4 linked regions of the Elephas maximus indicus genome follow. The protein of the gene in region 2 interacts with the protein of the main gene of each other region in a pairwise test. Links are inferred from orthologs where the notes say so. Each region holds a gene or a part of one and is shown on either strand. Other genes may lie near its edges. The genes, in order: DTX3, UBE2L6, RNF125 and RNF144A.

Region 1 (6,883 bases), on a different chromosome or scaffold from region 2:
ATGCCATCCGGAGTGCTGAGGGTGAGAGATCCTAGAAATTTTAAGGGTGGGGAGGGCTGTCCCTGGGAGACAAAGACCAGGGTGGTTAGCTTTTTAAAAAAGATCTGGCCAGTTCCTGGGGCAAGGGAGTTGGAAATGTATCTGCTCTTCATTGTTGGTTTCCCTTGCCAGGGGCCCCCCAAAAGGAGGTGTATTTCATGGGTCTCATTGACATCCTAACACAGTATGATGCCAAGAAGAAAGCAGCTCATGCAGCCAAAACTGTCAAGCATGGGGTGAGGGTTACCCAAAGCCTTTCCTTTTCTGTATCATCCTCCTCTATCAGGAGCCACTGGCTTGAGTGTTCTTTGGGAAGAGAGAGAGCAGTGGGGTGGTAGCAAGATGAAAGGTTGGGTATGGAGGGTGGGGAATGGGGAGGGGTGGTGGGGTGGCCTGACACATTGTTCCATATTCCTCTCACAGGCCGGGGCAGAGATCTCTACTGTCCATCCTGAGCAGTATGCTAAGCGATTCCTGGATTTTATTACCAACATCTTTGCCTAAGAGGCTGCCTGACTCCTTGGTGACTGCTGCTTTGTGTTCAAGGTGGTGGGATTCTGAGAGGCTTGGAGGAATTGGGGATATTCTGGCCAATACTTCTTCTCTTCCTCCTTTGCTAAATTCAGGCTGCAGGCTCCATCCATCCAGATAACTCCCATTTCATTGCATTGGCTCTTCTGGCCCTCAGAAATACATTGTCGTTTTTTCCCTTTCCCTTCCTGCAACAAGTCCCTTTGCTTCTTTAGGGTGTTATTGTTAACCCTCCCAAGTGCCTTGACCTTTGTAAAATGTCCTGTTGTTTCTATAAAAGAGGAGGAGCTGAGGGAACAGGGTTGTTTGCTGTCTTCAGAACCCGACTGGACAGATGGACCTGGTTCAAGCAACTACTCTGGATGCATTTCGCTGTGTAGGATGAACTAAGAGTGTCTGGGTTTTGCTGATAACTTTATAGAACTCACTGTGGCATGCTTCTATCCCAGTAGACCCTGGGATGGGGAACTTTAAAGATACAGATGTGGGTGCAGGCATATGCACATATGATGAAATATGGCCAATCTTGTACACAGAGGTGAGGTGGAGAGTGGTCAGTAGGCTGGGTCCTCATGGAGGTGGGACCTAAGAGGACTTTTGTGATTATGAAGGGAGTTGCAGAGGATTTCTGCCAAGGAATGACCACTCTAATCTCTTCCTTCAGCCTACTTCCACCCCCACCCACCTGTACTTCTGGGTGCAGAAGCCCAGAGCTGGCCAGAGTGTTGAAGCCTGGGTGAAGGTGTTTTAACTGTTTCTGCCCATTACCAAAGCCTCACACCCCTTGTGGTGTTGGAACCGTTGAGTGGGTGTGTGGCCAGTTCTAGAGGCTGGGATGAAATGCCAGGAGTGTGAAGTTCATTTCCCATAGTAAGCTTTCTTTCTTTCTTTTTAGCTATCCTTGTGGTTTATTCCCAGCAGAAGGGAATTTCCCCACTTGGGTCAATCCTGGTCATTTCAACAGGATGGAGGTCTCAAGTGTGCGAACCTCCCCTACTCCCTGGAGGTGTGTGCCTAGCACGCTTCCTTTCCCCATCCCTCTCAAACCCTTTTCCCCATTGGATTTGTCATTCTGTTCTCTTCTGTCCTTACACTGCTACTGTGTCTCCCAGGGGACAGATGGCCTTCTTTGCCATTTTTACTCCACCCCTAGAGAGGAGTCAGAGCCATAACTCAGTCACCGCTCCCCCTCCCAACAAGATAGTTGAGTTGATGCTTGACATTCTCAGAATATAGAGGACCCTAATGAGATAAGTTGTCCCCTCCCCTCCAATGGCTTTGGGGCTAAGGCAACCATTCTTGCTGTTCTCCATCCCCCTTGAGGCTTGTATATTTTTCTAACATAAAGATGGGCACCTGGCTTGTGGAGATGCAAGTTTCTTTGCTCTGTATCTGGCTGGACTGATCTGTCTCACAAGAAGTCATAAGGGAGAATCCCTCTCTTCCCTCCATCTTCTGCTCCAAAGGAGAAAACAAGAGGAATCCGCAGTTGGAGCTCCTATAGTATCTTCTCTTCAGGGGCCTGATGCATCTTTTTCATTCCAATCATCTACCTTTCCCCTGTTGAATGCAATAAAACTCCATGACACCAGCAACTGTTCTTTTGAAATGGGTTTTCTGACCATGTGGCTGATGTATCATGGGCAGTATGGTCTTCATTTGTTGCTTCTGTTTTTCGTCTTTTTTGTTTTATTAATTAATAAAAAATGTGTATTTACTCTTTATTGCGGTCACAATATAAAAAATAAATTATTGAATCCAAATTCCTTCACAGAAATGCCTTTTTTTTTTTTCCTTTCTTTTCTGAGGAAGCATACTCTTAGGGGTGCAAAGACTAGATGAAAAATTCTGGCCTTCAGCATGTGGGCCCTTAACTAAGGATGTGGATTTCTAGACAGATGGCTGGGAACTTAAAAGGTTGTATGGGGGCACTGGTAGCATGGAGATAGAAAACTGTTTTTCCTTCAATTTCACGGCATGGAGTTTAGCCCTATATAGAAGGGCCAGAGAAAACAGATGATGCAACCCCCGCTCCGACCCCCGCCACCAGGGCTCTGGGCTTGTTCACACTCAAAACTATGTTAAGGTGAATGGGCTTCAGCCCACAAGCTAAATTAAAAGAGAAACTGAATTCAGCGCTCCTCCAGCCTCCCTGGGAAAGATGATCTCTGCCTGGAAGGGCAGGAAGGGTCCTGGGAAAGTGAAGGAGAAAGTGGCCAGCCCTCTAACCTAGAGGGGGAGGGGAGAAGGGGGTGGATAAACAGAGGTTGTTGCTAGTCTGGGAGATCCAGTACTTCTTGGCTGAGGAGGTCTTTTGGCTGGCAGAGAAACCTAGCTTGATGTGGCCCCAGGGAAGTGAATTGGGCCAGGGGCGGAGACTGCTCTGATGTGGGAAACAGCAGAGCTTTTTTTTTTTTTTTCCTTTTGAGAGTTTTTTAACTATTTGAACCATAGGCCTGAGGCCACCACGACCCCAAGCCATTTCTTAAAAAATATATCCACTTCCCATACTGCATCACACTCCCTATCCCCACTTGCGGAAAGAGAAAAAAATCTGAGGCACTTACCAATACCCAGCTGGGAGCAGGTGCGGGGAGGGGGTGGGGGGCGTCTCTCAGACGGTTACAATCTAGGAAGAGGCAAGAGATGAGAGGATGAAATCGTTTAGGACTGGGGTTTGTTTATTTTAGAACAAATGCTTTTCTTTTTACTATGATTCTTCTTCCCATCCCACATTGTTCCTCAAAGGCCCTTCTGGCATAAGGATTTCAGAAACCGCTTCCCTCCCCCCACCCCATCCCTATATACCTAAACCGACGCTCCCCACCCACCCAACCACCACTAGCTCAGAGAAGCTGCCATGCAGCTGGTTGGGAAAGAAAAGGGAAAGGGCTCCTCCCTACAGGGGTAAATGAGAAGCTAGCGGCAGCGTTTCTAAGGGATTTAACCTCCTACCCTCTGTTACACGACGCCACCCTCTCCCTCCAAAGACTGGAAGACGCCTCCATTTTTGTTTTGGGGCGGAGGGACTGGGGCCCCTGGATTTAAAGAGTCAACGGAAACGGTGATTATCACCTGTGAAGGGGAATGGGGGTGCAATCCTCCCTTCTTTCCTTTCTCTCAGTCTCACCCCCTGCAACCCTCCCCACCTTTTCGGGGTCTCCCCCCCTTGTTGCTAAGGCCCGGACCGTCATCCCAGCAACAGCCTCAGTCATGTGACCGGCAATGGCGGCGCTGACAGGAGGTAGGTGAGCCCGGCGTCCCCCACACCCACCGCGCACCCCCCAGACCCCGCTCTCTCCCCTCTCGCACCCCCCGCTCCCCTGCACCCACTCCTTCGCCCTTTCCCTTTGGTACGGCTCCGGAGGACCCCTCCACGCCCCGCCAATCCTCTTTTCACCATCCTCCAGCCTTGGCCTCCTTTTGGGAGGTTCTGGGGGCCGCGATCGGGCCAACATGCACCCCCGCCCACCGGTGGGTCTCCCGGGCCTCCGGCGAGAGAGGGGTGTGGGGGGTTAGTTCCGGGTCGGGTCTTGGTGGAGGCCGTGGGGGGAGGGGTGGAGCTGCCTCAGTGGATGCCCCCAGGGACCCTTGCCCTTTCTGGCTGCCCCTGCCACCAGCATCTATCTGTCTGGAGGGAGGGACTGGCCTGGTGTCCGGCCTGGGTTGCTCCAGCGGAATCACAGATCCAGCATAAACTGTGGCCCCGCCTCCCTTTTCTTTGCCAGCAGGACTTGGAGCTAGGACACCTAGGTCCTGGGTCCTCTCTGATGGAGGGGGTGGGTTTCCATTCTGGATAGACAGTGGGGGCTGAGGTCTCAGGGTTCGAGTTTCATTTTCTGAGTGTCGAGGTGAATCTGGCCTTGAGGGAACTATGATGGAGGCACAAACGGACAGCTGCTCCCCTTTCCATCGGTCAAAGAATTGAGGTCACGTTAATGGTTCCTCTTTCCGTTGGAGCTGCATTTGAAGGTGTGCGAACAGCCCTGTAACTGAATATGACAAGACTGGAGGAACATCAGGTCCCTCCAGTAGAGCCCCTGTGTGAGCTCCACCCCTCCTAAATGCAGGCTAGAGAGCTAAAGGGCTATGCTGCGTTGGGTGTGCTGGGTTTAAAAGGTGACAATGAGAACTTTGTTATTGCAGGGGCTGTGGCCACTTTGTTCACATTCCTAACAGACTGCAACAGAAGGGACTGAGGTTAGGGCTTAAGGAAAGCTCTCTGGCAGTAGGGGCTGGATGATTTGGGACTGTGGAGCAGGGTGAGGAGTTAGGGAACCGAGGAAATACTCCTGTCCCTATGATCTGAAACATGTGGCAAGAAAAATCTCTGTGTAGGCTTTTCCCTTCCAGACTATTACCTTGAAGCTCTCATAGCTGGAAAGAAAAGATGGAAGGTTAGCATGATCAGTCCCTTCCTTACCAGCTTGAGGAGGGGCTGTGGATGGAGTCAGGCAGGAGAGAGGGAGATGAAATGGAAGAGGAGTTTTTGTTTTGTTTCTGGGCTGGCTGGTGAAAATGTTAACGTTTGCCACCATAACACTTTATTCTCCCCTAGTTCTGGTCAGCTGAGTGTGGAAATAGAGCGATTTCTGCTGTCACCGTTGTCCATGGGCTTTCCAGGTACCTGAGGGAACCTCAACTTTCATTCTTAAATTAGTTCTCTCCATTCCATGTTCTAAGTAATACTATGCGCAGTAACCTATACTCAGGTTCCTGTCTTTGCTACATGGGCTGCTGGGTTGAGGTATGGGGGTACTGGGGGAAGGAGTTTCTTACTTTCCTTCCTTTTCCTTTCCACCCCTCCAGGTCATATAACCCACAAGTAGGGAGCAGGGAAAGAGAGAGAGCCTGCATGCCAATTCTAAGCTCTTCAGGATCAAAGTGAGCAAAACGGAGGGTTGAAAAGTCTTTCTCCCCTTTAAAGAGCCCATTTTTCACCCTGAGGGTGGGGCGGGAGCAATTGTTTCTGTGATCTTGGGAGAAGTGTAAGGAGAACCTAGACTGATTGCTTGGCTAGGATGTTAAAGGAACTTTCTTGTTCTTCAGGGGGTGGTGAGGTTGGAAGATATGGGAAGATAGAAAATGGACTGGGGGGAGAGTTGGGAGTTGGCCTTGAGAGAATGGGGGGCAATATAGTATTTGGAAGGAACCTGAAGTAGGAGGCATTGATATTTGTCAAATGGGGACCCCCCACCCTGAGTCCCTTTCACCTTGGGGGCAGTGTCGTTCGTCCTGTCCAGAATGGCAGCCTGTGGAGGCACCTGCAAGAACAAAGTGACTGTCTCCAAGCCTGTGTGGGACTTCCTGAGCAAGGAGACTCCAGCGCGGCTGGCCCGGCTTCGGGAGGAGCACCATGTTGCCATCCTCATAGATGGCGAGACCTCTGACATCTATGTTCTCCAGCTTTCCCCACAGGGCCCACCCCCAGCCCCTCCCAATGGGCTCTATCTGGCCCGGAAGGCTCTCAAGGGGCTGCTAAAAGAGGCAGAGAAAGAGCTGAAGAAAGCTCAGAGGCAGGGGGAGCTTATGGGCTGCCTGGCTTTGGGGGGTGGGGGAGAGCACCCAGAGCTGCACCGCCCAGCCCCACCCCCTCTCAGAGCAGCTCCACTCCTGCCCCCAGGAGCACGGGGGATTCCTCCTCCTCCCCCTCCCATCCCACCCCCTCTTCCTCCCCGCCTTCGGGAGGAGGCAGAAGAGCAGGAGAGCACCTGTCCCATCTGTCTGGGGGAGATCCAGAATGCCAAGACGTTGGAGAAGTGCCGGCACTCATTCTGCGAGGGCTGCATCACACGGGCCTTGCAGGTGAAAAAGGCCTGCCCCATGTGCGGCCGCTTCTATGGGCAGCTGGTAGGCAACCAGCCCCAGAATGGGCGGATGCTGGTCTCTAAGGATGCCACCCTGCTACTGCCCAGCTATGAGAAGTACGGCACCATTGTCATCCAGTATGTCTTCCCGCCCGGTGTCCAGGGGGTAAGAAGACCACAGCCTGCCCTCACCCTTTGGTTTCCCCCAAGCTTGTTCTCTGACCTAGAAAGACTGAGTGATGGTGAGTGTGTTTGTTAGATGTGATACAGTCTTGCCATTTCCCAGCATGCCTTCCTACTTAGTGCCTTGGGGCTAGGAGGTCCCCTTGAGGCCCAGCTTTTCCATCCCCATGACCCCAAGGCACACATGAAAATCAAGTGTGATGAGAGAAAGGAATTGACTTCTATTTCCTTGATGAACCTGGATGTTGACAAATATTCTCGGCAGGGGTGAATTTTGTGGAGATCAGGCTCCGGTGCAGGCAGGCACAGTAGGGAGGGATCTG
Region 2 (7,247 bases):
AAGTCTCTTGGGCTCATATTTACCTTGTGTCTTTGGTGTTCTTCATTCGCTTTTGCTCCAGGTGGGTTGAGACCAATTGATACATCTTAGATGGCTGCTTGCTAGCTTTTAAGACCACAGACGCCTTGCACCAAAGTGGAATGCAGACCCTTCTTTTAATACATTTTGTTATGCCAATTGATCTAGATATCCCCTGAAACCATGGTCTCAAGATCGGCGTCCCTGGTCCCTGCTACTCTGGCTTTTTAAGCTTTTGGCTGTATTGAGAAAATTTCTTATTCCCTGCAACCTTTTGTCATCTACAAAGATGTGCATCTCTTCTACTCATTGTTAAAACCCCAAGTCCACAGAGTAGGTCCCTTTGCAGTGTCAGCACAGGGCCTCACACAATAGGTGCTCTTAAGTGTTGTAGATTGTATGAATAAATGACAGGGACTGGATCAGAGAGAGGAAGGAAACCTGGTGGCGCAGTGGTTAAAGCACTCAGCTGCTGGCTGAAAGTTTGGCAGTTTGAATCCACCAGCCACTCCTCAGGAGAAAGATATGGCAGTCTGCTTCTGTAAAGATTACAGCTTTGGAAACTCTATGTGGCAGTTCTACTCTGTCCTGTAGGGTCGCTATGAGTTGGAATAGACTAGATGGCAACAGGTTTGGTTTTGGTTTTTGGATATGTATGTATGTATGTATAGAGAGACAGAGAAGACAAATGAAATGGCTCATGTGTTTGTAGAGGCTAGCAAGTCCCAAGCTGGTGGGGTCAGGTGTCAGGCTAGAGGCTTCTCCTGACTCACATAGCTGCAGGGCTGACGAAACCCATGATTGGCAGGTAAGACCGCAGGCTGCTGAGTCATAGGCTGCAGAGGCTGAAGAATCCCAATATCAGTAGGCAATACTGCAGGCCACTGGCTCAGATCCCTAGAACCAGAAGTCAGATGATGATAAGCTGGATGCAGGATTCAGAGCAAGAGAGTGAGCTTTGCCAAAATATCCATATATGGTATGCAGGCCACACCCCCAAGGAAACTCCCCTTTCAACTGATTGGCTGCTTGCATCAGATCACAAAATAGAGGATGATTACATCAAATCACAAAAATGGAAGGTAACTACATCATTACATAACTGCCAAATCACATCATTATATAAATTCCAAACCACTGGGAATTATGCCCCAGCTAAGATGATACGCAACCTTAACCATCACAAAAACCCTACAGAGCCAAGTTCTACTCTAACACAAAAGGGGTTGCCATGAGTTGGGGTTGCCATGATGAGTCAGAGTCACTATGAGTCCGAGTCACCTCAAAGGTAACTGCTTTTTAACTCAGAAAGATATGTCATTGCCCAAAGGCAGAAAGCTCAGGAATCTCTGTTCCTCCCACCCAGCACCCCCTGGGCAGGCAACTGGCATCATTTAAATAATAATAAGTATTATTATTATAACTATCGCTTATTGCCCACTGTTCTAAATTCTTAAGTTCTTTACAAGTATCAAATTATTGCCCCTCACGTCTACCTGTGAGGTATATACTATCATTAGTCCCATTTTACAGATGAGAAAACAGAAGCATAGACAGGTTAAGTACTCTGCCCAAAGTTATTTAGCCAATAATGGTGGAGTTGGGATTCCAACCTGATTATTTATATCTTGGGCTTGCTTATAATTTTTGAAGCTCCTCCACTTCCATGAGCTTAGCTTTTCCACAGTCCTGGGAGGCAGGTAGGTCCACTATGAAGGGGTTAGGAAGGTTCCATGGCCCACCCAAGGCCATACAGTATGTGTGAAACCAGAACCCAGGCTCCTGGCTCCCAGCTCAGGGTTTGTTCTGACAACAAAGGTCCACATTGTGCAAGGATGTGACATATGGGTCACCCAGCTGTGCAGGACGGAGCTGGATCCATACACATATATACACACAATGCAGACACATATACACATTCACTTCCGGGCAGGCAGGGGCACTGGGGTCACAGCCTGCCTGCAGGAATGCAGCGTTTCTGGAATAGAAGGGAAGGAGAAACAAAGGGCATAGGCAGAAACTTTTGCTCCACATCATGAAACCACTTTCAGTTTCCATATATACTGCCATCATGTCTTTAATCAGGCTGTTCCCACTTCTAGGAACACCCTCCTCCCATGTTCTCACTCCAGCTAACCTATCAGACTTCACAACTCATTTAGATTTTTAACTCTTCCAGGAAAGCTCGCTCCTCACCCCAGGGCTGGGTACAGTGATGGCCCTCCTCATTTCCATAACACCATATGATTGCATGTATCTTCATGTTCACCTCTTTGCATTAAAAACACAGAGGCTACATTCCCTCCCCCCGTCCCTATAATCTGAGAGCTCCTTAAGGACAGAGACCTCACTTTCTTACTGTGGCATCCCCAGTCCCTAAGGGCAGTGCCTGGCCCATGGCAAATACTGAATATTAAGTGTTTGTTAAGGAACCAGCCAACGGCTCCTGGAGAGAAAGACCTGGTGATCTGCTCCTATAAAGACTACAGCCTAGAAAACTCTATGGGGAGCTCTACTCTGTCACATGGGGTCCCTATGAGTCAAAACAGACTTGAAGGCACTTAAAACAGCAACTGAGAAGATTGACCAGACATGGGTTCAAATCCCAGCTATTGAATTCAGTTTCCTCATCTTTAAAACAGAAATAAGTCTACTTGCTTTAGGGGATTTTAGACAGTGTCCTAATCATTCCTGGCATATAGAAGATACTCAGTTCAAGTTTGTCGAGTTAAACATCGTTTGTCCTGCAGATACATCCCACATCTGAGCAGAGAAGTCAGTTGGTACCAAGACAAAAACTGTGTGATACTGTTATGGATTAAATTGAGTCTGCCCCCAAAATATGTGCTGGACTCCTAACCCCCATGCCTGGGGATGTAATCCTGTCTGGAAATAGGGTTTTCTCTGTTATGTTAATTAGACCATACACAGTACAGTGGGCTCTAAATCTAATCACTTCTGAGTTACAAAAAGAGTACATGAGATGCAGAGAAATGGGAACACCAGGAAAATGGGGGACACGCTATGTGTCAATCATCTATAAGCTAAGGGACCAAGGAATGTTCGGAAATACCTACAAGGAAGGAACTGATACCACCAAGACCCCGATTTGGACTTTTAGCCTCTAGAACTGTGAGGAAATAAATTTCTGTTCTTTAGAGCCACCCACTGTGGTTAAAGCATTAGGTAATTAAAACAGGTACCTAACTCTGAATCTGGTGCTCAAAATATGCCGATTTCTTTCCTCATCTGAGCTGAAGTGGGGGGCTGGGAGGGAGGAGAAGAAGGGCTCAGAGTCTAGGAGATTCTGGGAGTCCCGAGTCTGGGAGGCTCTTTCTCAGACACTGCTGCTTGGTACTCAGGGGCTGCTGTTTCGCGGTGGGCTCAGATTCGGCTGGGGCAGGGGTCTCTGCCCTTGCCCAGAGGGGTGGAGACGCCTGCTGTGTATGGGGGCACATAGTAGGCCCCCAGTGTGTAATGGATCAGGGATAATATAAGGGAGGCTGAGTAGCTTCCCCTGGGGGAAGGCTCCTGAAATCCGTCTTGGGGCTTTCCCACCCAGCTGTTTCCCAGACGAGCATGAGATCGGCGCTGATGAAATACTAAGCCTGGGTTTTTTGGTGGGCAGTCAAGGACCGAATGAACAGGCGACCGACTCGCAAAAACAAGAGAGAAAGGGTCCAAACAGCGCCTCCTTGTGGGGCTTTTCACCAAGCACCCTTCTGGGAGAAACATCCTTGTAGGTCCGCCGCCGAATGCTGGACAGCACAAAGAACCCCAAACTCTCATTTTTAGAGATGGGGCACTGGGCGCAGAGAGAAGAAGGGTCCTGTCCAGGCAGGTCCAAGAGTTTGCTAGACGAGGGGTTTAGGGCAGTGGTCTGACGGTGGAGGCCGCCGGGGGACCTGTCGCGGAGCAGAGTTGCATCCCTGCATTTACTTAGGGTGAGCGTGTATTCAGGACGACGAGGAGCCGGCTGATGGAGAGGAGTCCCTGGGACAGTCCCGGGCAGAAACTAGCACCCGGATGAGCAGACCCCAGCCCCGCGCTCTGCGCGCTCACCGCCTGATGCAGAGCGCCCCCTACCGGGACTCAGAGACCAGGCACGCCGCGCGCTCCAGGGACCATCCGTGCCCCCCAACAAAGATCGCGAGCTGTCCGGATCCGAGCGCGCGGCTCTGAGGCCTGGCCGGGTTCTCCCCGCAGGGCCCCCTCTGTCTTCGAAAAGCCAGTGGGGAACAGGTCTGCTGCGTCCGGCGACCGCACGGGCGGAGCGGAGCGTAGGCGGGGCTCCCGGAGGTGGGGTCCCCGGGGCGGGGCGCCTAGTCTCCTCGCAAGGTCGGCTGGAGTCCGCTAGTGCCCCACACTCGGTTCCGAGATGTCAGCGAGGAAGCGGGTGGCGAAGGTAACTGCGTTTGGGACACTCCTTCTCCCCCGCTCCTCCTCCCTCCATCTCTTTCCCGATTCCCTCCCCCCTCCACCCCTTCCTCGGCTCCCTGCCCCCTCCGCCCCTTCCCGGGCTCCCTACTCCCTCCATCCTTTCCCCTGCCGGCTCTCCGAGCGCTCGCAGTAGTCCAGGTACTGGGGCCGGCTGAATGCCTGTCATCTCCTGCTCCCTAACCCCAGGGGAGAAGGGGGTCTGCGAGGGGTCAGGGAAGTGTTTTTGGGGGGAGGGGGCATATGGGGTGTGGTGTCGCTGGTTCCCTGAGCCGTGCTGGGGGTGGAGTGAGCCGATCGGATTCCCCCCCCGCCCCCCCAACTGGTTTCAGTTTCACTTCTGCCAGAAACTTGTGAGAACATTTACGTGCGTCTCTGGTGCGGGGAGGGTTTCCTGGCCTCATCCTGGTGGCAGGCGCCCTGCTGTGGGTGGGGAGTGGGCTATGCACAGAGATAGGGGACAAGGTACTTTCCTCGGAATAGTCTATGGCCCGTCCTCTGGGCTGATACCTGCTTGACTAGGGTCCAAAGCAGCATGGGGTGCTGACCCGGAGTAGGTCAAAGTTCCCTGAGCGCTCTGTGGAGAAGATGCTGAAGCAGAGCAGGGAAGGCTCCTGGAGACGGTGGCGCGCGCCTGCCTTGTTCCTTGTTCTGCAGTTGCTGTTCAATGCCTACTGTATGCTGGCCCTGTTCTAGCTGGTAGGGAGGCAGAGGTGAACAAAGGACACAAATCCCTGCCTTCCTTGAGCCTTCGTTTTAATCAGGGACACAGTTTGAGATGAGGTCTGGAAGGATGGGGATGGAGCAAATTCCACCAGGAGGTGGGAAAATCCTGGGTGGTTGGGGGGGGCTGGGGTGTAGCTGGAGATGGAGAAAAATCCTGGTGAAGTGGATCTGACACCCCCAGACTCTGAGTTCCTCTAATCTGCAGAATGGAGTGGAGGGGCTGAGGGGAGTGCCTGCTACCCCCAGCCTCTGAGAAGAAGAGGGTCTCAGTCTGGGTCACCCAGAGTAGGCTCAACCCAGAAGAACTGAAATCTGAAGGGCGACTGCTAAATGGAGCAGGGGTTTTTCCAGTAGGAAAGAGATGGAAACCAGTATTTATCACACTGGAGTTCCTGTGTGGTGCAAACTGGTTAACACACTTAGCTGCTAACAGAAAATTTGGCAGTTCAAGTCTACCCAGGTGCCTTAGAAGAAAGGCTTGGCAATCTACTTCCCCAAAAATCAGCCATCGAGAATCCTGTGGAGTACAGTTCTGCTCTGACACACATGGGGTGGCCGTGAGTTGGAATCGATTAGATGGCAGCTGGTTTTATTTATCACACTGGCATCATTACGTGCCAGGCAGTTTACATCAGTTGTTTCATCCAATTCTCACAGCAACCCTGTACTCCCATTTTACAGATGAGGAAATTGAGGCTCCGATAAAATAACTCATTTATCCAGGGTCACTGAAGAAGGAAGAGATGGGGCTGGGATTTAAGCTGGGTCCTCAGGACTCCAAACAGGCTCTTTCAATGGTCACTCTACTTTCATTTTCTCTTCCTCTAAGTCAGGTGATTTCTTAACAGGCCTCAGGAAGGAGCCTTGTGTCCTAGCTCAGGTTTCATCATCCTCAGGTGTTGCGAAAGCTTTGGCAGAACTCACCTGTAATAGATAAAATCCGAAATGTTCCTGTTAATAGTAAAGTCAGGGAAAAATGTCCATTCCAGAGCTTCTCTATTCACCCTTGGGCTTCATTGTTGCCCCCAAAATAACAGATGATACCGGAACCCGATTTGTAGTAAAAGATGCTTCTAGTTTGGGGCAAAAAATAAATGAAAAGTCATAGAATCTGGGTAGAAGGTGTGAGAAGCAGTGTGTTGGAGTGAAGGGGCGGGGAACAAAGGCGTGTTTATATTTTGGGAGGGGGAAATAGAAAGTTCGGATGGTCTACAATGTTAAAGGACCCCTTCTCAACTGGGAACTGGGTTTGGGGAACGTTCTCTCTGCCCTTGTTTCCACCAGAGCTTCTCAACCTCCTCACTATGGACATTTGGTCGGATAATTCTTCGTTGTGGGAGGTTGTCCTGTGCACTATAGGATGTTTAGCTGCATCCCTGGCCTCTACCCACTAGATGCCAATAGCATTCCTGCCTCCCATTTATGGCAACCAAAAATGCCTCCAGATATTGGCAAATGTTCCTGGGCGGGGGTGTGGAGGGGGGGGGCTCCGTAAAATTTCCTGTAGTTGAGAACCAGTGGTTTATACCCATTTGGTGTTTCACAGACGTATGACCTGCCCTTGAATGTCATTTTTATGTTGTTTTGAAAAAAATGTTCTGTCATCAGCAAAGGGCGAGAGGTTGCTTGGTCAGATCCATTTGAGAAGTACTGCATGCTATGGGCTCACGTTTTGGGGATTCACAATATGCAATAACAAATTAAAGGCTCTGGAAATCCCTGCAGTAAGGAAACCTGTTTAGCCCAGTGTTTCCCAAACATACTCATCCATGGAACCCTTTTCCTGTAATAACTATTGACTTTCCATGGGACATTTGCCCTAATTGGGCCTGTCTTGGTGCCCCTCAACTTCTCTGCGTGGTGGACTCCTGTTTATTCTGCATGGCCCGGCTCACCATGTGCAGCCCCTGTAAGCCTTCCTGTTCCCATCTCTCTCCTCATTAATGCATCCACACACGTCATTCTCGTAATTGCATTCATGTTTCCTCCATTACTCCATGGTTGTTCTTGAGGCTTGAGCCATGTCGTGGTCCCTAGAGCATGCTCAGTCAATGGCTGTTGAGGTC
Region 3 (7,851 bases), on a different chromosome or scaffold from region 2:
GCAATTGGCCAACTTCCTGCCCAAGATAAGAAAAACAAGAGGCTGGGGTGTGCAGACCACAGAACAAGTTAAGACCAAATCTGGCTGCCTGACATGTGAAGAACCATCAATCCTGTCTTCTGGATGACCCCAGAACTTTTCTCCTACCAGTCGGAGCCAAACTTTATTGGCCCAAGATTGGAGGAAGACTTTCAAAGCCCGGGGTCCGAGCCCCAGATCCGGTTTCATACACCCTCCCCCCACTTTTGGACTGAGCAAGCAAAGACAAAGGAACTGCCCCAGGAAAGCCTTTTTTTGGGCCAGACCAATCAATGACCTTGCTCCTTTCCCCAGGGAACCTTCCCCTAATAAATACTGTTTAAGCCATTGTTCAGGAAGCCATCTTGGCGATAGAAGTCCTGGTGTGCGCCTTTGCTTGGCCAACCAAATAAAGCTGCTTCTTTTGCTTTCACCTGTTTCGTATCTCTTTGGCCACGCCAAGCAGACCTGGAACAGTCAGGTTACAATAAGGTACTATATATATACTCATTCAAGGTACTGTTGTCATCATTATTACACTTGTTTGACTTGAAATAGGTTTTTAAAACAGAAATTAGCATAAACAACCTAGTTCAACAAGTTTGGAAATCTAGCTTCAATACATTGTAATAAATTAGAGAGGTTTTATTTGCATTTCTTCATTTTCCAATTTGAGGTCAATGGAATACAATAATTCATTTCCAAAGTACAAATGGTGTTAACAGCCCTCACCATCTCCAGTGCCGAAGGGACTCTGGTTAACATTTAAAGTGGAAGGCATCCAAGTAAGTTTGCCAAAAGGAGGACTATGGAAATTCTGCCCACGGCCAGAACAATGGACATAGATTTGTCAAAACAAAGAACAGTAAAGTGAGGGAAGGCAATTTGTCCAGCCCTTATTATGCTATTTTATGACTATTTTTCCAGTTGCTGGTTTCCTATTCACTCCAACAAAGAGAAGGATTAAACAAAAGATCTAACATTTTGCAAATTTATATTATCCTTTAAACCAAAAAAACCCAAGCAGATGCAAAAACACTGCAAACTGTAACTTCAAAATCCAAACTGGGGAAAACAATCTCCAGTCAGATAATTAAAATAACAAAAATGCCCATCTCAGTTCTTAAAAAAGAATCTCCAAGACTTGATGCCCTATTGTGCATCATCCATGGTACACTTTTCAAATCTTAATGCTAATACAGTTTAAATTTAAATGTAGTTATTCTTAGGTTATTAGTGCCCTGAACTAATCAATATATTTTATGGTGTTAGACAACATCTTGACTTCTGTACTGACCCTTGGATAGTATGTCAAGAAGCTACATTTGGACAGCTGGGAAACCACACGAGTAATCACAAATGAGGTAGATTAGCACTGGGTTCAAAATACAAACCTGAAACAACAGGCCCGAAAAATACAGGCAGAAAATAAGGCCCAGGGCACTGTAGATGTAAACATTGTGTGGGCTGCATATTTTTCTCTCTGGTTCTCTGATGGGCTCTTCTGTGGTCAAAATTGCTTTTCTCAGGTACAAGGCTGTTAAGTGTCAAGAATCACCGAGGTCGTTTTAAAAGCATTTTTGCGCTTGCTTTTATAATATGGTCCCCCTCCCCCCTTTTCCTGTTAAGGCCAAAGCACTTACTAGCCACTGCGGTATTGCCCTGACGCTTCATCAGACTATACAGTAAGTCAGCAGTCCAAAGAAGACATTCAGTGGGTTTCCGTTCTTGCTCTGTTCACCTCTCCCCTGCCCCCCGCCCCCATCCATCCATCCACGGGAAAAAAACATCTTTTAAGTAAACGGAGAAAACAAATTCACAGATACAACTCCCGCTACTCGTTACTCAAACACACATTAAGAACGTTACAATTTTATATAGGGACTTCGTTTTTAAACTCTTCTTAGAAAATGATGCTTTGCGCTAACGGCGAATTTAAGTAAAACATTACGTCATTTTTTTTTAAAGTTGTTTTAATCTACACTGTCTATTGATTTGGCGAGGTGTGCGTAAAGCAGGTAGTCTAGGATCTTTCACTTTGTCGTTGAGTTTTAAGCGGCTTCATTCACTGGCTCCTTGCTAATACTCAAGCCCCAAGCCCCACCGTAACAGGTCTGGTTAAACTCTAATGACCACAGGAAGTCACTTGGGCGTTTCAGTTTGACTTGACGACCCGACAGGGGTCTGTCTGGTGTCTGTGTTGAGAAAGGGAGACGGGGTGGGGGTAAAAAGACAGTTTGCACAGATTTTTGTTTGCGCAGAAGCCTCAGTGAGCGTTCTGGAACACGTGCACGCAGCCAGCCACACAAAACCGGCCAGAGTTCCCTGGGGAGAGGAGGACACAGCTGTTTCAACCTACTTCAGCGGGATAATTGTGCTTTGGGGGTCCCTGCTGCTTGTAGTCCTGCGCGCTCGCTTTCGCTGCCGGGACAGGCTCTGGTTCTCCAGCCAAGACCATCCACCCCAGCTAGCGAGCGCTGGCTCTCGGCGTGACCCTGGTCTGGAATCTCCATCTCCGGGGTTCTGCACCTGGGTTTCGGGAAGAGGCTGCCGGGCCCGATAGATTATGGCTTTTTTTCCTCTCGAATTTCTGTCACTCCCGACTGGGCATTTTCTTGTGTCTTGCACCAGATAGGTCCAGGTTTCTTCCGGCGGCGTCTGCCTCTGGCAAAAGAAACCCCCCATACCCAGGCCCCTCCCCCCCCGCCCCAAAACCCTGCTCTCTCCAGCGGGTAGGAGAGCAAAGCCAGCTACCCCGGCACTTACACGTGGCCACAGCGGGTCCGCACAGGCTGGTGTAACACCTCGAGGCACACGGAACAGTCGAAGGACGTGACTGGCAGCTCGGGGCTCCCCCTGCGCTCCAGGTCCCGCGGGGTGGCCGAGGCAGGCGCGGATTTGCCGCTGTCGCTGCTCAGCACGGAGCCCATTGCAGCGCCTCTCGCCCGGGCAGCTGCTAAGAGCTCAGTGCCTGCAGCCGGGTTGTTTTGTTGTTCTGCGATGGAGGAAGGAAGTCCCAACCCAGCTGTGATCACCGCCTCCCAGCGCCCCCAGCTCGCTCGCGTAGCCTAGATCCAGCCTCCGCCGCTGCGCGCAACCTCGGCCAGAGGCAGACAGAGAAAGCGCCAGCGCGTCTGAAATGATCTTTCGTTAGCTGCCGGGGGTTAAGTGATGGAGGAGGTGGCGGCGGCAGCTGCACAGCACACGAGCTGCAATGTCTCGTGGTCCTGGGAGGATTGAAACCTGAAACCTCAGCTGCAGAGGAGGACCTTGGCCTGCAGTGTACCTTCCAGGCTATGACATACATCCCCACTATCGTAAGTTAAGGAAAATGCTGCCTGGCCATGCCTTTATGGGAACCAGGGAGCATCCACAAGTGTTGGTCCTATCAGTTTTTGTAGCTTATTATAATTATTTGTATGACTGATTGATCGCTCCTAAGACAGTGCCAATCACTACTTTGGTCATCTAATCAATGCTCCGTTAATGGAGCATGCATAGGAGGCAATGGAAAACACCATGGCTTGGGTCAGGTGCACCCTAGTCTTCAGGGTGACATCTTTGCTTTTCAACACTTTAAAGAGGTCTTTTGCACCAGATTTGCCCAATGCAAGGTGTCTTTTGATTTCCTGACTGCTGCTTCTGTGGGTGTTGATTGTGGATCCGAGTAAAATGAAATCCTTGACAACTTCAATCTTTTCTGTGTTTATCATGATGTTGCTCATTGGTCCAGTAGTGAAGATTTTTGGTTTTTTTATGTTGAGGTGTAATCCATACTGAAGGCCATGGTCTTTGATCTTCATCAGTAAGTACTTTCAAGTCCTCTTCACTTTCAGTAAGCAAGGTTGTGTCACCTGTATAACATAGGTTGTTAATCAGTCTTCCTCCAACCCTGATGTCCTGTTCTTCTTTATATAGTCCAGTTTCTGGGATTATTTGCTCTGCGTACAGATTGAATAAGCTATAGCCCTGACGCACACCTTTCCTGACTTTAAACCAGGCAGTATCCCCTTGCTCTGTTCAAAGGACTACCTCTTGATCTATGTACAGGTTCCTCATGAGCACAGTTAAGTGTTCTGGAATTCCCATTCTTCGTACTGTTATCCATAATTTGTTAGGATTCACACAGTTGAATGCCTTTGCATAGTCAATAAAACGCAAGTAAACATCTTTCTGATGTTCTCTGCTTTCAGCCAGGATCCATCTGACATCAGCAGTGATATTCCTGGTTACCTGTCCTCTTCAGAATCCGGCTTGAATTTCTGGCATTTCCCTGTGGATATACTGCTGCAGCTGCTTTTGAATGAACTTCTGCAAAGTTTTACTTGCATGTGATATTAATGATATTGTTCAATAATTTCCGCGTTCGGTGGGATTACCTTTCTTGGGAATAGGCATAAATATGGATCTCTTCCAGTTGGATGGCCAGGTCACTATCTTCCAAATTTCTTGGCATAGACAAGTGAATACTTCCAGTGCTGCGTTCGTTTATTGAAACATCTCAATTGGTATTCCGTCAATTCCTGGAGCCTTGTTTTTTGCCAGTGCCTTCAGTTCAGCTTTGACTTCTTCCTTTGGTACCATTGGTTCCTGCTTATACGGTATCTCCTGAAATGGCTGAACGCCGACCAATTCTTTTTGGTATAGTGACTCTGTGTACTCCTTCCATCTTCTACTGTCACATATTTTGGATGTGTTATCAGGAGAGACCAGTCCCTGGAGGAAGGACATCATGCTTGGTAAAGTGGAGGGTCATCAAAAAAGAAGACGACTCTCAATGAGGTGGATTGACACAGTGGCTGCAACAATGGGCTCAAGCATAATAACGATTGTGAGAACGGTGCAGGACCAGGCAGTATTTCATTCTGTTGTACATAGGGTCACAATGAGTCTAACCGACTGGACAGCACCTAACAACAAACAACAACAAGCATGGAGTAGAGGAAGGAGTTCTGGAGACCTGGATTCAAATCCCATTCTGGAATTCTAGTGCTAAATTCTGTGATCCTCAGATTCCTTGGCTCAGGATCTCCTGCTATTAATTTTACTCTCTCTTCTTTTCTCCTGCTATTAATTTTACTCTCTCTTCTTTTCTTCTCTCTCTTTTTTTTAAAAACATGACCGAGCATATCATTCATTCATTAATTCACCAAGGACTTATTTAGTGCCCCGTGGCACTCTATTCTGATGATGGGGACACAGTTCTGAATAAGCAAACAAAATCCCAGTTCCCTCAGAATTTACTTTAAAAAACTTTTTATTTTGAGATAATTATATATTCACATGCAATTGTCAGAAATAATACCCAATGCATAAAATACATAATTATACATAATGATCCTGTATATCACTTTCCCCCAATCAGAGCTTACTTTTAATGAGAGGATATAGTAATTAAAAAATAAATAAATGAACAGGATTTCAGAAAATGATAAGAGCTATGAAAAAGATAAAACAGAGAATGAGAATGGAAAAAAGGATACAAGGGTCAGAGAAAACTTTTTGGATGAAATGCCGTTTAAGCAGAACCATGAATAATGAAACTGAGTCAGCCATTCAAAGATTGAGGAGAAAACCTTGCCAAGCACTGGTAACAGTGAGTGATGCAGGAACAGAGAACAGAAAGAGGACACAGGGAACTGGAGCATGGGGAATAAAAGCAGGAGATGGGGTGAGATGTGGTCAAGATGTGGGGAGAGGTGGTCAAGGTTCTGATCATATCCAGTCTTACAGGCTAGGACCAAGAGCTTGGAGAATTTATTCCAAGTGTCACGATTTGATTTATACATATGACTTCTGTGTAGACAAAGGACAGAAACAAAGCAAGAATGGAAGCAGAGAAACCAGTTAGGAGACCATGGTTAAGAGACCATAATGGCTCAAACCAACAAGATATCTGGGTAGAAGGAGAGAGGTGGACAGGTTTAGGATATATTTAGGAGAAAGACCTAAAAGGGCTTGCTGATGAATTGGATATAGGACTGAAGTAAAGACTATCACTCCTGTCTTTAAAAGAAAAACAAAAGCTCTCCCTTGATCCAGCATGTCCCTCAGCTCCTGCCCTATATACTCTTTAAGGCCAAATTTCTTGAGCTGATTATCTGTCTTTTGTATCTTGATTTATTAATTATCCACTGCTTATCCAGATAAATTTGAATTCTGAACCCACCACTCTACCTCCATCTCTCCAAAAACTGCTTCATCATCAGTGGTGACCGTCATGTGTGGCTAAACCCGATAGCCTCTTTTCAGTATTTTTCGTGCTTTACTTCTCAACTATATTTGTCAGTGTTGACCACTCCCTCCTTGTAGAAACACTCTTTAGCTTTCCTTTTTTTTTTTTTGGCTAATCTTTTGCAGTCTCCTTTGCTGGCATCGCCTTCTTCATGGAAAGGCTAAGTGCTAGTGATCCTAGGATTCTACCCCGGGTCCTTCTCCCTTTTCATTCCTCACTCAGTCCCTAAGAATCTCAAAAATCCCATGGATTCTGTTACCATCTAAATTATAGAGAACTTGAAGCCTTTGTCTTCACCCCAGGCCACTCAAATGCCCTTCTTACTTGAAATCACTACACTGGTTGCTTCCTAGACACTTTAAGATCAACATGTCCAATAATGAACTGATGATTGTAGCCTTTCATCTGCTCCTACTGAATTCTGAGTGATGGCACTGCAATCCACCTGGTAGCTCATTCCAGACACCTGTGAGTCATCTTTGATTTTTGTCCTATCTCTCTCTCACATTGAATCAATCACAATCACAATTTTCTGTCTGTAATATACCTCTTAGTAGTTTTTGAATTGGTTCACTTTTCTTCACTCCCATGGTCACTTCTTATTTTAAATCATCACAGTCTCTTGTGTGACCTATTCTAATAGTTCCTAATTGTTCTGCCTGCATTCACTATTGACACCCTTTACTCTATTATCCACGTTGCAACTAAGGCAATCTTTTGAAAAGGAAATATGTTACACCATGCTTAAGAATCTTTAATAGCTCTCCGTAACTCTTAAGGTTAAATTCTAAGTCCTTAACGTGATCTACAATGTCCTGCACAATCTGACTCCTCCAATAACTGTAATCAGTTAGAATACCTTTGGTAGAAGGCAATAGATATCTAACTGTGATCATTAAAATTGTGTGTCAACTTGGCTGGGCCATAATTCTATTTGGCAGTAATGATATAGTTTGGCAGTCGTATGATGATGTGATCACTTCCATGATGAGATTTGATCTATTGTGATCACCTCCATGATGGGACCTGCTGTGAGTAGCTAATCAGTTGAAAGAGAGTTTCCTTGAGCATGTGGCCTGCATCCGATATAGGTGGACTTTCTGGCAAGGCCCACAGGCTTTTGCTTGCTGTGGATCCTGTAACTGGCTCCTGTTCATCTGACCTCCAGTTCTTGGAACTTGAGCCAGCAGCTTATCTGCTGTCTTGCCTGCCAGTCTTGGCATTTGTTGGTTTTCATAGCCTGCTCTCTGACCTGCCAGTCTTGGGTTCACCAGCCCCTGCAGCTATGTGAATCAGGAGAAGCCTCCAGCCTGACCTGCAGACTTGGGATGGCCCAGCCTCTACAACCGTATGAGCCATTTCCTTGATATAAATCTGTATGTATATTTATATACTTTGCTGGTTTTACATCTCTAGAGAATCTGGCCTAAGACACTAACTAAAAGTGACTTAGTCAATAGGATATTTGTTATTTATTTTGGTAAATTAGTCCAGGGGTAAGCAGTTCCAGAGCTGGTTTAACAGAAAAATAATGTCATCAAGACTTCAGTCTTATGTCTGTAGTGTCTCCCTCATGGCAGAAAGATGACCGCAACAGC
Region 4 (7,260 bases), on a different chromosome or scaffold from region 2:
ACCAGAGAGAGCTGAAAAGCTGATGCCAGACTGAGATCAGCCACAAACACTTTGTGAGGCCTGGGACTCATGGCCTCTGCCTGTAGTAACTCTGATCTATAGTAACCCACCTAGATCTGTAATTCTCAATCCATGAGGACACATTCTCTTTCCCTGCAACTACTACCAGAGAGAAAAGTTCCAAAGAGGGAAGAGGTTTGAACAAGGTCCACAATGGGTCTAAACTGTCAACCACGGTGGAAAAAGTAGTGTTCTAAGGGTCAGGCAACACAGGTCCTAGTTTTTGACCCTGCCACTGCCTGGCTGTGTGGCACATTCACCACCCTGAACCTCAGCAGTTTTAATTAAGTAAGCTCTAAGGGCCTTTCATGAACCCACATCACCACACTCTAATAAAGATTTCCCTACAGGAATTAAACCATCAGACTGGAGCGTGCTGGCGTACATTTATAAAATATATAAATCTCAAAGTGCTCCCCAGGTTTTCCAAACCTCCCTGGCATTGTCTCATGATTCACTCCATGACTGCAGATTTGTCCCCCTCCCGCTGAGCTTCTGAATTGGGCTCCATCTATTCCCTTGTACGGGTACGGGCACTGGGTTCAGGCCCTCTGCAACGCCATAAATTTCAAAACTCAAATTGTGCTGGATCTGCAAAGTTTGCATCCTATTAAAATTAGGTTATCTGCATCCCAATTTCTCAAGTGGTCTTCAAATCACGTGTGGCCCCTTTGGCAAGTGATAAAGGTGGAAGCCAAGGCCAAGTGCGTGTCCGACTCTGAAGCCCAGGCTCCATACATTGAGCCATGCCTGGTCCTTTCCCAATTGAAACAATCACTCTGAAGGCTTCATGACTTATCCCAATCCGACCTCTGTAGCCATTATTTCCTCCCCACTCATTAAAATACATTTAGAATAAAGATTAAAAAGGCACTAGAAAACAGAAAAACACAAGGTCACTTCTCTCAGTACTGTGGAAGAGAACACAATCAAGCAAACATTTGGTAAAAAAACAACTGGGCTCCAAGGCAACGTTCACTGGTGTATGCTGGTGTTTTCCTCCCTTTCTTTTGCTCTGCTAGTTCCCTCCACTTGGGGTACTCCTGCCCCTCCCCCCATGTTGGATCTGACCCACCTTCAGTCTTTGATTCAAATACCACTTCCCTCACAGGGTCTTCCCTGGCCCCCTTCTCTTCCTGCCTCTCCCGAACTCCCTCTTTGGAATTTCCACAGTCAGGGGAAGATGACCCAATAAGCAAGGTAAACACAGGCTTACTTGTGCTTACTTTAGTGAACAATTTCACGTGAGTTTCATCACACTCGCAGGGGTTTCACCACATCTCTGCTTAGGAAGCAGGCACAAGTAAACCAGTGCTTACCTTGCTCACTGGGTCATCTGTCCCTGTCAGGGCTGGTAAATTAAAAAATTTAAAAAGGTGCTGTGAGGTTGGGGGAGAGACAGATGCCAGCCACACCTAGAAGCAGAATCTTTGATGTGGTGAAAAAATGTGAAATTGTTCACTACAGATTACCTGGTAAGCAAAGTAAGCACTGTGCTTACCTTCCTGCCCACAACTCTTCATCTGTACCACCTTACTTTCTGCCTTGAATTTTATTTATGAACATTCTATCTGCTCGATAAACTCTCACCTTCAGGGCAGCCTCTACCCCGATTCACCCATACAAGTCCCCCTCACCCCTCACGTTGCGTTCCCAGGAAACTGCCTCCCATAACTGTTGAACGCAAGACACTTGGTCTCTCTCCAGTGCAGGCATTTATTGCAGCCGGGAGCCCACTTGGGATACTTCCCTGGGGCCTTATTTGGCCTGGCACAGGGCACTCATGTTGAGTGGATATATATACATTTAATTATTCACCGGAAAACAGGAGAGACAAGAACAGAGAGAGAGAGACATAGAGTGAGAGAGGGAGGAAACTTTGAGTTTGATCCCAGGACAGTTGATCCCTGTCCTGGGATCAGGATAAGAAGGCTTAAAAAAGCCCAACAAAAGGTAGAACAAGTAACCCCTCCCCCCATTACCATTAAGCAATCCCTTTTTTTATCTTGCATAAGCAAACGAATAGCTGGGAACTAGCGTGTAGCAGAGCTGGGAGCAGCTGCTGGAGGGTGGGGTTGGGGTAACACCAGCATCCCAACCCTCTGCAAGACCTGCAGGGAACTTCCGGGCCAACCAACTGCCCTGGCGGCACAGATGAGGGAAGAGATGCAGGGCGCACCCACCCAGTAGGGGAAAGGTGTGGAGGTAGGAAGAGACGCTGATAGCTATGGTCATCGTAGGCGCCTGGGGAGGACGTTCAAAGCCGGAGGGCGAGAGGTACCCCTAGCCGACTTGGCTCAGCCCTGACCTTCCCCGCCTCTTCCTCCCTCTCGGCTGGGTCCACCCTTTTGGAAGACTTAGCGCGGACCCGATGCCTCCAGCTCTGGGGCCTGCGGGCGGGGCCCTTCAACAAAGAGAGGGCACTCTGCGCGCCAACTCGCCAGCCGGACCCTAGCGCGGGAGCGCTGAGAGGCGCATCGCTGCAAACTGGCGCCCAGGCTAGGGGTGGGTGGACGGCGGGGTGGATCCGTGGTTCTCAAAGTGGTCACGGCTCTGAGGCGCGAATGCAAGCCCAAGCGGACCACCGAAGGGTCAGGGTGGAGGTCTGCGCGGAGACAGCGAGTCCCCGCCTCAAAGACCTTCCACCCGCCTCCAGCCCCCCCACGATCCCAGCGCCCCGGGCCAGCGGCTCCGGCCACGCAGTGGATTCCGAGATGTGGACTCGGGAGGACCAGGGCTGGGCACACGGCGGCAGCGGGAGCCCCAGAAGGCCGGGTCCACAAAGCCACATCCCTCCTTCCCGCTGGGTCCGGCTCCCGATGCCGACACAAAGGGGACGCGCTCGCGTCATCCTACCTGGTCCCGGCGCCGTGCGGCGGCTTCCTCGGGTCTGCTACCGCCAGGGCTCTCGGAAGCAGCCCGGCTTCGGCTCCTCGGCCGCGGCGACAGCGCGGGGCTCCGACGGCTTTGCCCGGGTGCGCGCGGCCCGGCGCCTGCTCCCGCGGTGCTGCTGCCGCCGCCTCCACGCGCGCCCCGCGCAGCCAGCCCTGAGCCACGCAAGGCTGCTGCTCTTTATTTCATCCCCACCCTCCACCCCTTTTTTGCAAAGCCAGCGAGGGGAGGGGAGGATCTGCGGCGCGAGAGGTGGGGGCCGCTAATCGGCACACAAAGACGCTGGGAAACGTTGGAGGTAGCCGTTTCCCTTTGAAAAGGGCCAAGGCCCCCGCCCTGGGCGGACACAGCGCCCTCTGGTGCCCATGGGGCCTCGGCACGGGCTGAGCGCGGCTAACTTTCAGTCCTGGCCTTCCAGGCGTGGTGCCAGGCTGCCTGGTCACCCCGGGCCTTTTAGCAAAGCTGATGAATCAACCAAATCATGATAAAGACCGCTGATGATCCGGGAAATGAAAATGCGATTTCTTATTTTAGCGGTCTCCAAAAGATGGCCCGCTGATTTCAGATGTGTCGGGGGAAAATACCAGCGAACTGGGAAAGACATGGGTGACCCAACCAAACACGAACTCTTCTAAGCCAGGTGCTGGAAAGATCATGAAGCTGGGCAGTTGGAGCCCCGGGCTCTGCCATAGACCAGAAAAAACATGAATAAACCATTTGGCTTCTCAGAACCTCAATTCCACACTCTGTCATATGAGGACGTTGCTAATGAAGGCTGAGGACTTTCTTTGCTAAACTAAATATGAAATCTCTTTTCACCCCACTACCTGGTTTCTCTGATGGGTGGAGAATAGGAGGCAACCTGGACGTCCTATCAGGCTTTTGGATACCTGAAGTTCACCTGTAGCAATTCAGTCCTAATTATTAAGGCTTCTAGCTTGACAAAGTCTAAGATCTGTGAAGCGAGAGTTGCTGTAAGATATATTTTTGCCACTCCCTCCAGTAGTTGGAAGTTATACATGTGCTAAATTACATGCCTTTCAGATATAAATATATGAACAATACCTATGTATGTATAGGAAAGAATCCCTCCTTCAGCCCATAGACTGTTTTCTCCAGAGTCATAGGGAAAACTCACTATAGTATCTTCCTTCCTTAACAACATGCCACCATACTGCCTGGGCTAATTTACAGCTCTACTATCTACTAGCCTGGTGACCTCAGTTAAGCAAGTTACTTAACTTCGTTGTGCCTCCATTATTTGGAAAATGCAGGTAGTAATAGTATGTATAGCATAGAGAGTTTGGGAGGGATTAAACAAGCCAGATACCCATAATGCAATTATCAACATAACCAGCAAACTGTTAGGACTCTACCATGATCCTTAACTACTATTTATCTCATTCCCAACAGTTAAACTAGAAGATTCTTAACTATCTTGAAATTCTGCATAATTTGTCTTCCTGAGCTACACGCACACACATAGTTGTTAGGTGCCGTCAAGTTGGTTCAGACTCATAGTGACCCTATGTACAACCAAACGAAACCCTGCCGGGTCCTGCACCATCCTCACAATTGTTGATAAGTTTGAACCCATTGTTGCAGCCACTGTATCAATCCATCACATTGAGGGCCTTCCTCGTTTTCGCTGACTCTCTACCAAGTATGATGTCCTTCTCCAGTGACTGGTCCCTCCCGATAACATGTCCAAAGTACCTAAGACGAAATCTTGCCGTCCTGGCTTCCAAGAAGCATCATTCTGGCTGTACTTCTTCCAAGACCAATATGTTCATTCTTCTGGCAGTCCATGGTACATTCAATACTCTTCACCAACACCATTTTATATATATTTATATGTGTGCATTTGTATCTTATGCTTTAAAAAGTTACTCAGATAAATATTTCTTCTCTTCAAAGATATGAATGAGGACTTTCCTTCTTATGCCTCAGCTTCAGTCAAATTATTTGTAGAAGTTTCACTCTTAATGAGAAATACACAATGGGAGGGGTCCTAACAATAGCATTTTGGGACTTCATCCTCTCACTAGAAGATAAAAGTAGCTCACCATTAAGGTCTGGGCTTCATAAACTGTATTCACACCTCCCACTACTAGGGAAGTACTAGCATGACTCTTACTTATAAATGGATAATTAAATGAATGAATGGATTGATCACTGCAAATACACCAAGGAGTGGGGAGGAAACTCCTTGCCATGGAGTCCATTTTGACTCCTTGACCCTATACGACAGAGTACAACTGCCCGATGGGATTTCCAAGGCTACAAATCTTTCTGGAAGCAGACTGCCACATCTTTCTCCCATGGAGTGTCAGACTGCCGACCTTTTGGTTAGCAGCTGAGTACTTTAACCGCTGCCCTACCAGGGTTCCTTGTGCAGATACACAGAATGCAAATTACACGATGGCTTCGTACTGGATGATAAATTGAGATTCAGACATTCATGTGGAAAACAGAGACATAGAAATCAAGTTGGGGGACTGGGGAGCAGCATCTGGAGCTGAGAGGAAGAGGTTGATGTGGAAAATCAACCCCTTACCTAATTGCATAATTCAGACTGGTAAGTGCTGATGCAGTAAATTCCGTGATTTAATTCCCATGTTTGGTTCGTTTGTCTTTGTTGGTATGATCGTTGTTGGGGAGAGAGTGCTTCATCATTGAAAGTACAGCTTGTAGCAGCTCAAAAACAATGCATCTCAAGTACGATTTTCTCTAGGAAGTCTACGCAAGACAACTTTGCTTTCCTCTTCACCAAATATCTGAACAGTGTAAGATGTAGTTCATTTCTGTGTTGATTATGGCATCTGTCACACACCACTTCATGCTTTGGGTATTTGCTCTTGGATGATTAGATTTTAAAATTCTGTAGAGCAGTGACGCCATCATTTTTCTATGCATTCCCCTATAGGGCCTTGAGCATAATAAACACTCGGCAAATAATGAATGTAATCATCTACTTTGGGCTGTGCCCCTGGGCCACTGTCCTCTTTTTCTCCAACAACCATCTGCCTGTGTCTCTCAGAGATATTTTCATCCACCACACAGCACCCTGTGCCAGCCATGAATGCAAAGAAACCATCTCACCCAGAGGTTTGTCATGGCGAGCCTCATCCATTGTTCCTGTGTGTTTGTGCCTAAGGGAAGTGTGACTCATTATTCACTCACTGAACAAGAGTGTTTTTGATTATGTACTATGGGCCAGATTCTGAGCTCAACGGTAAACACCTCGGAGAATTAGTACCTTTGTAAATGGCCCAGAGGCTGGAAAAATGGAAACACATCCTGAAGTTTCTCCTTGAGGCACAAAATCGAGAGAAGCATGAGATTCGCAGTCATGGCTTAAAATAGACCAGAGTTTGAATTCACATTTCTTTGATGTCTAAAATTCAGTTCAATTCCTTAGTTCATGAGAACGGCTAGAAATTAAATGTCAGTTACTCTTCTTTTTTTTTTTTTTTTACTGTCCTGACTCTGCCTCCCTCCCTAAGGGCATACAGGAATCTAGGGGATCACATCATCCTAGGAATATATAATAAAACCTTTCCTACCTAACCCATCATAGGTCTACTGATAGTCTTTTTGTTCAGGATCTGTGGTCTCTTGAAAGCAAGCTGCATACAGCTCCTTATCCAGGCTTTGGGCACATTTTTTTTTTTTTTCCTAAATCCAGGGTCAAAACTATACAGCTCCCCAACACACCACACAACCGGTGAGGTTGTACCACTTCCCCAGGGCAATGCCAAGGAACAATGGAAAGGCCCCTGCTACTCTCGGGGTCTTCTTGGGAAAGCTTCCCTTGTTCACACTCTTGCCTCCCTCTCCTTGAAGGCCTCCTCTCTCTCTTTCCCAAGCTACACTTCTTAAATATCCTCTTTGGTGTGTGTAACCCATTGCTGGCGAGTCGATTCCAACTATTAATGACGCTATAGGACAAAGTAGAACGGCCCCATAGGGTTTCCAAGAAATGGCTGGCAGATTTGAGCTGCCGACCTTTTGGTTAGCAGCAGAACTCCTAACCACTGTGCCACCAGGGCTCCTCAGCGTGTGTAGGCATCCACATAATACAGGACACAGAAAAAAACACAGGGTTCTAATTATTATCTAGAATCTATGGGGGAAGAGAAAGCAACTCTATATTACTATCACAACGAAGTATGTGGTCAAAATTACAAAGAATAAGAGCTTAAGGAAGACAACCAAAACTTCAAGAAAGAAAGTACAAGAGAAGAAGAACATTCATTTATCCAGTCATTCAACAATAGCATCTAGAGGACACTGATGCATGACCGC

Evidence for each region.
Region 1: the proteins of UBE2L6 (region 2) and DTX3 interact in binary tests that used the Homo sapiens proteins (3 or more experiments, as listed by UniProt). The link is inferred for Elephas maximus indicus from reciprocal best matches to the Homo sapiens genes UBE2L6 and DTX3.
Region 3: the proteins of UBE2L6 (region 2) and RNF125 interact in a two-hybrid assay, tested with the Homo sapiens proteins (3 studies listed by BioGRID and IntAct). The link is inferred for Elephas maximus indicus from reciprocal best matches to the Homo sapiens genes UBE2L6 and RNF125.
Region 4: the proteins of UBE2L6 (region 2) and RNF144A interact in a two-hybrid assay, tested with the Homo sapiens proteins (2 studies listed by BioGRID and IntAct). The link is inferred for Elephas maximus indicus from reciprocal best matches to the Homo sapiens genes UBE2L6 and RNF144A.

Annotation. Positions count from the first base shown.
Region 1 is NC_064822.1:117,496,084-117,502,966, forward strand, and holds the start of DTX3 (probable E3 ubiquitin-protein ligase DTX3), read left to right. Parts: upstream 1-3,882; 5' UTR 3,883-4,026; coding exon 4,027-4,044; intron 4,045-5,128; coding exon 5,129-5,193; intron 5,194-5,379; coding exon 5,380-5,454; intron 5,455-5,794; coding exon of another isoform or gene 5,795-5,813; coding exon 5,814-6,543; intron 6,544-6,883. Other genes in the region: PIP4K2C (phosphatidylinositol 5-phosphate 4-kinase type-2 gamma), read left to right, coding at 1-21, 172-275, 463-543. UniProt on the Homo sapiens protein: Regulator of Notch signaling, a signaling pathway involved in cell-cell communications that regulates a broad spectrum of cell-fate determinations.
Region 2 is NC_064825.1:118,989,291-118,996,537, reverse strand, and holds the start of UBE2L6 (ubiquitin/ISG15-conjugating enzyme E2 L6), read left to right. Parts: upstream 1-4,247; 5' UTR 4,248-4,396; coding exon 4,397-4,423; intron 4,424-7,247. UniProt on the Homo sapiens protein: Catalyzes the covalent attachment of ubiquitin or ISG15 to other proteins. Functions in the E6/E6-AP-induced ubiquitination of p53/TP53. Promotes ubiquitination and subsequent proteasomal degradation of FLT3.
Region 3 is NC_064829.1:39,483,151-39,491,001, reverse strand, and holds the start of RNF125 (E3 ubiquitin-protein ligase RNF125), read right to left. Parts: upstream 3,004-7,851; 5' UTR 2,949-3,003; coding exon 2,785-2,948; intron 1-2,784. UniProt on the Homo sapiens protein: E3 ubiquitin-protein ligase that mediates ubiquitination and subsequent proteasomal degradation of target proteins, such as RIGI, MAVS/IPS1, IFIH1/MDA5, JAK1 and p53/TP53.
Region 4 is NC_064830.1:15,958,372-15,965,631, reverse strand, and holds the start of RNF144A (E3 ubiquitin-protein ligase RNF144A), read right to left. Parts: upstream 3,005-7,260; 5' UTR 2,917-3,004; intron 1-2,916. UniProt on the Homo sapiens protein: E3 ubiquitin-protein ligase which accepts ubiquitin from E2 ubiquitin-conjugating enzymes UBE2L3 and UBE2L6 in the form of a thioester and then directly transfers the ubiquitin to targeted substrates.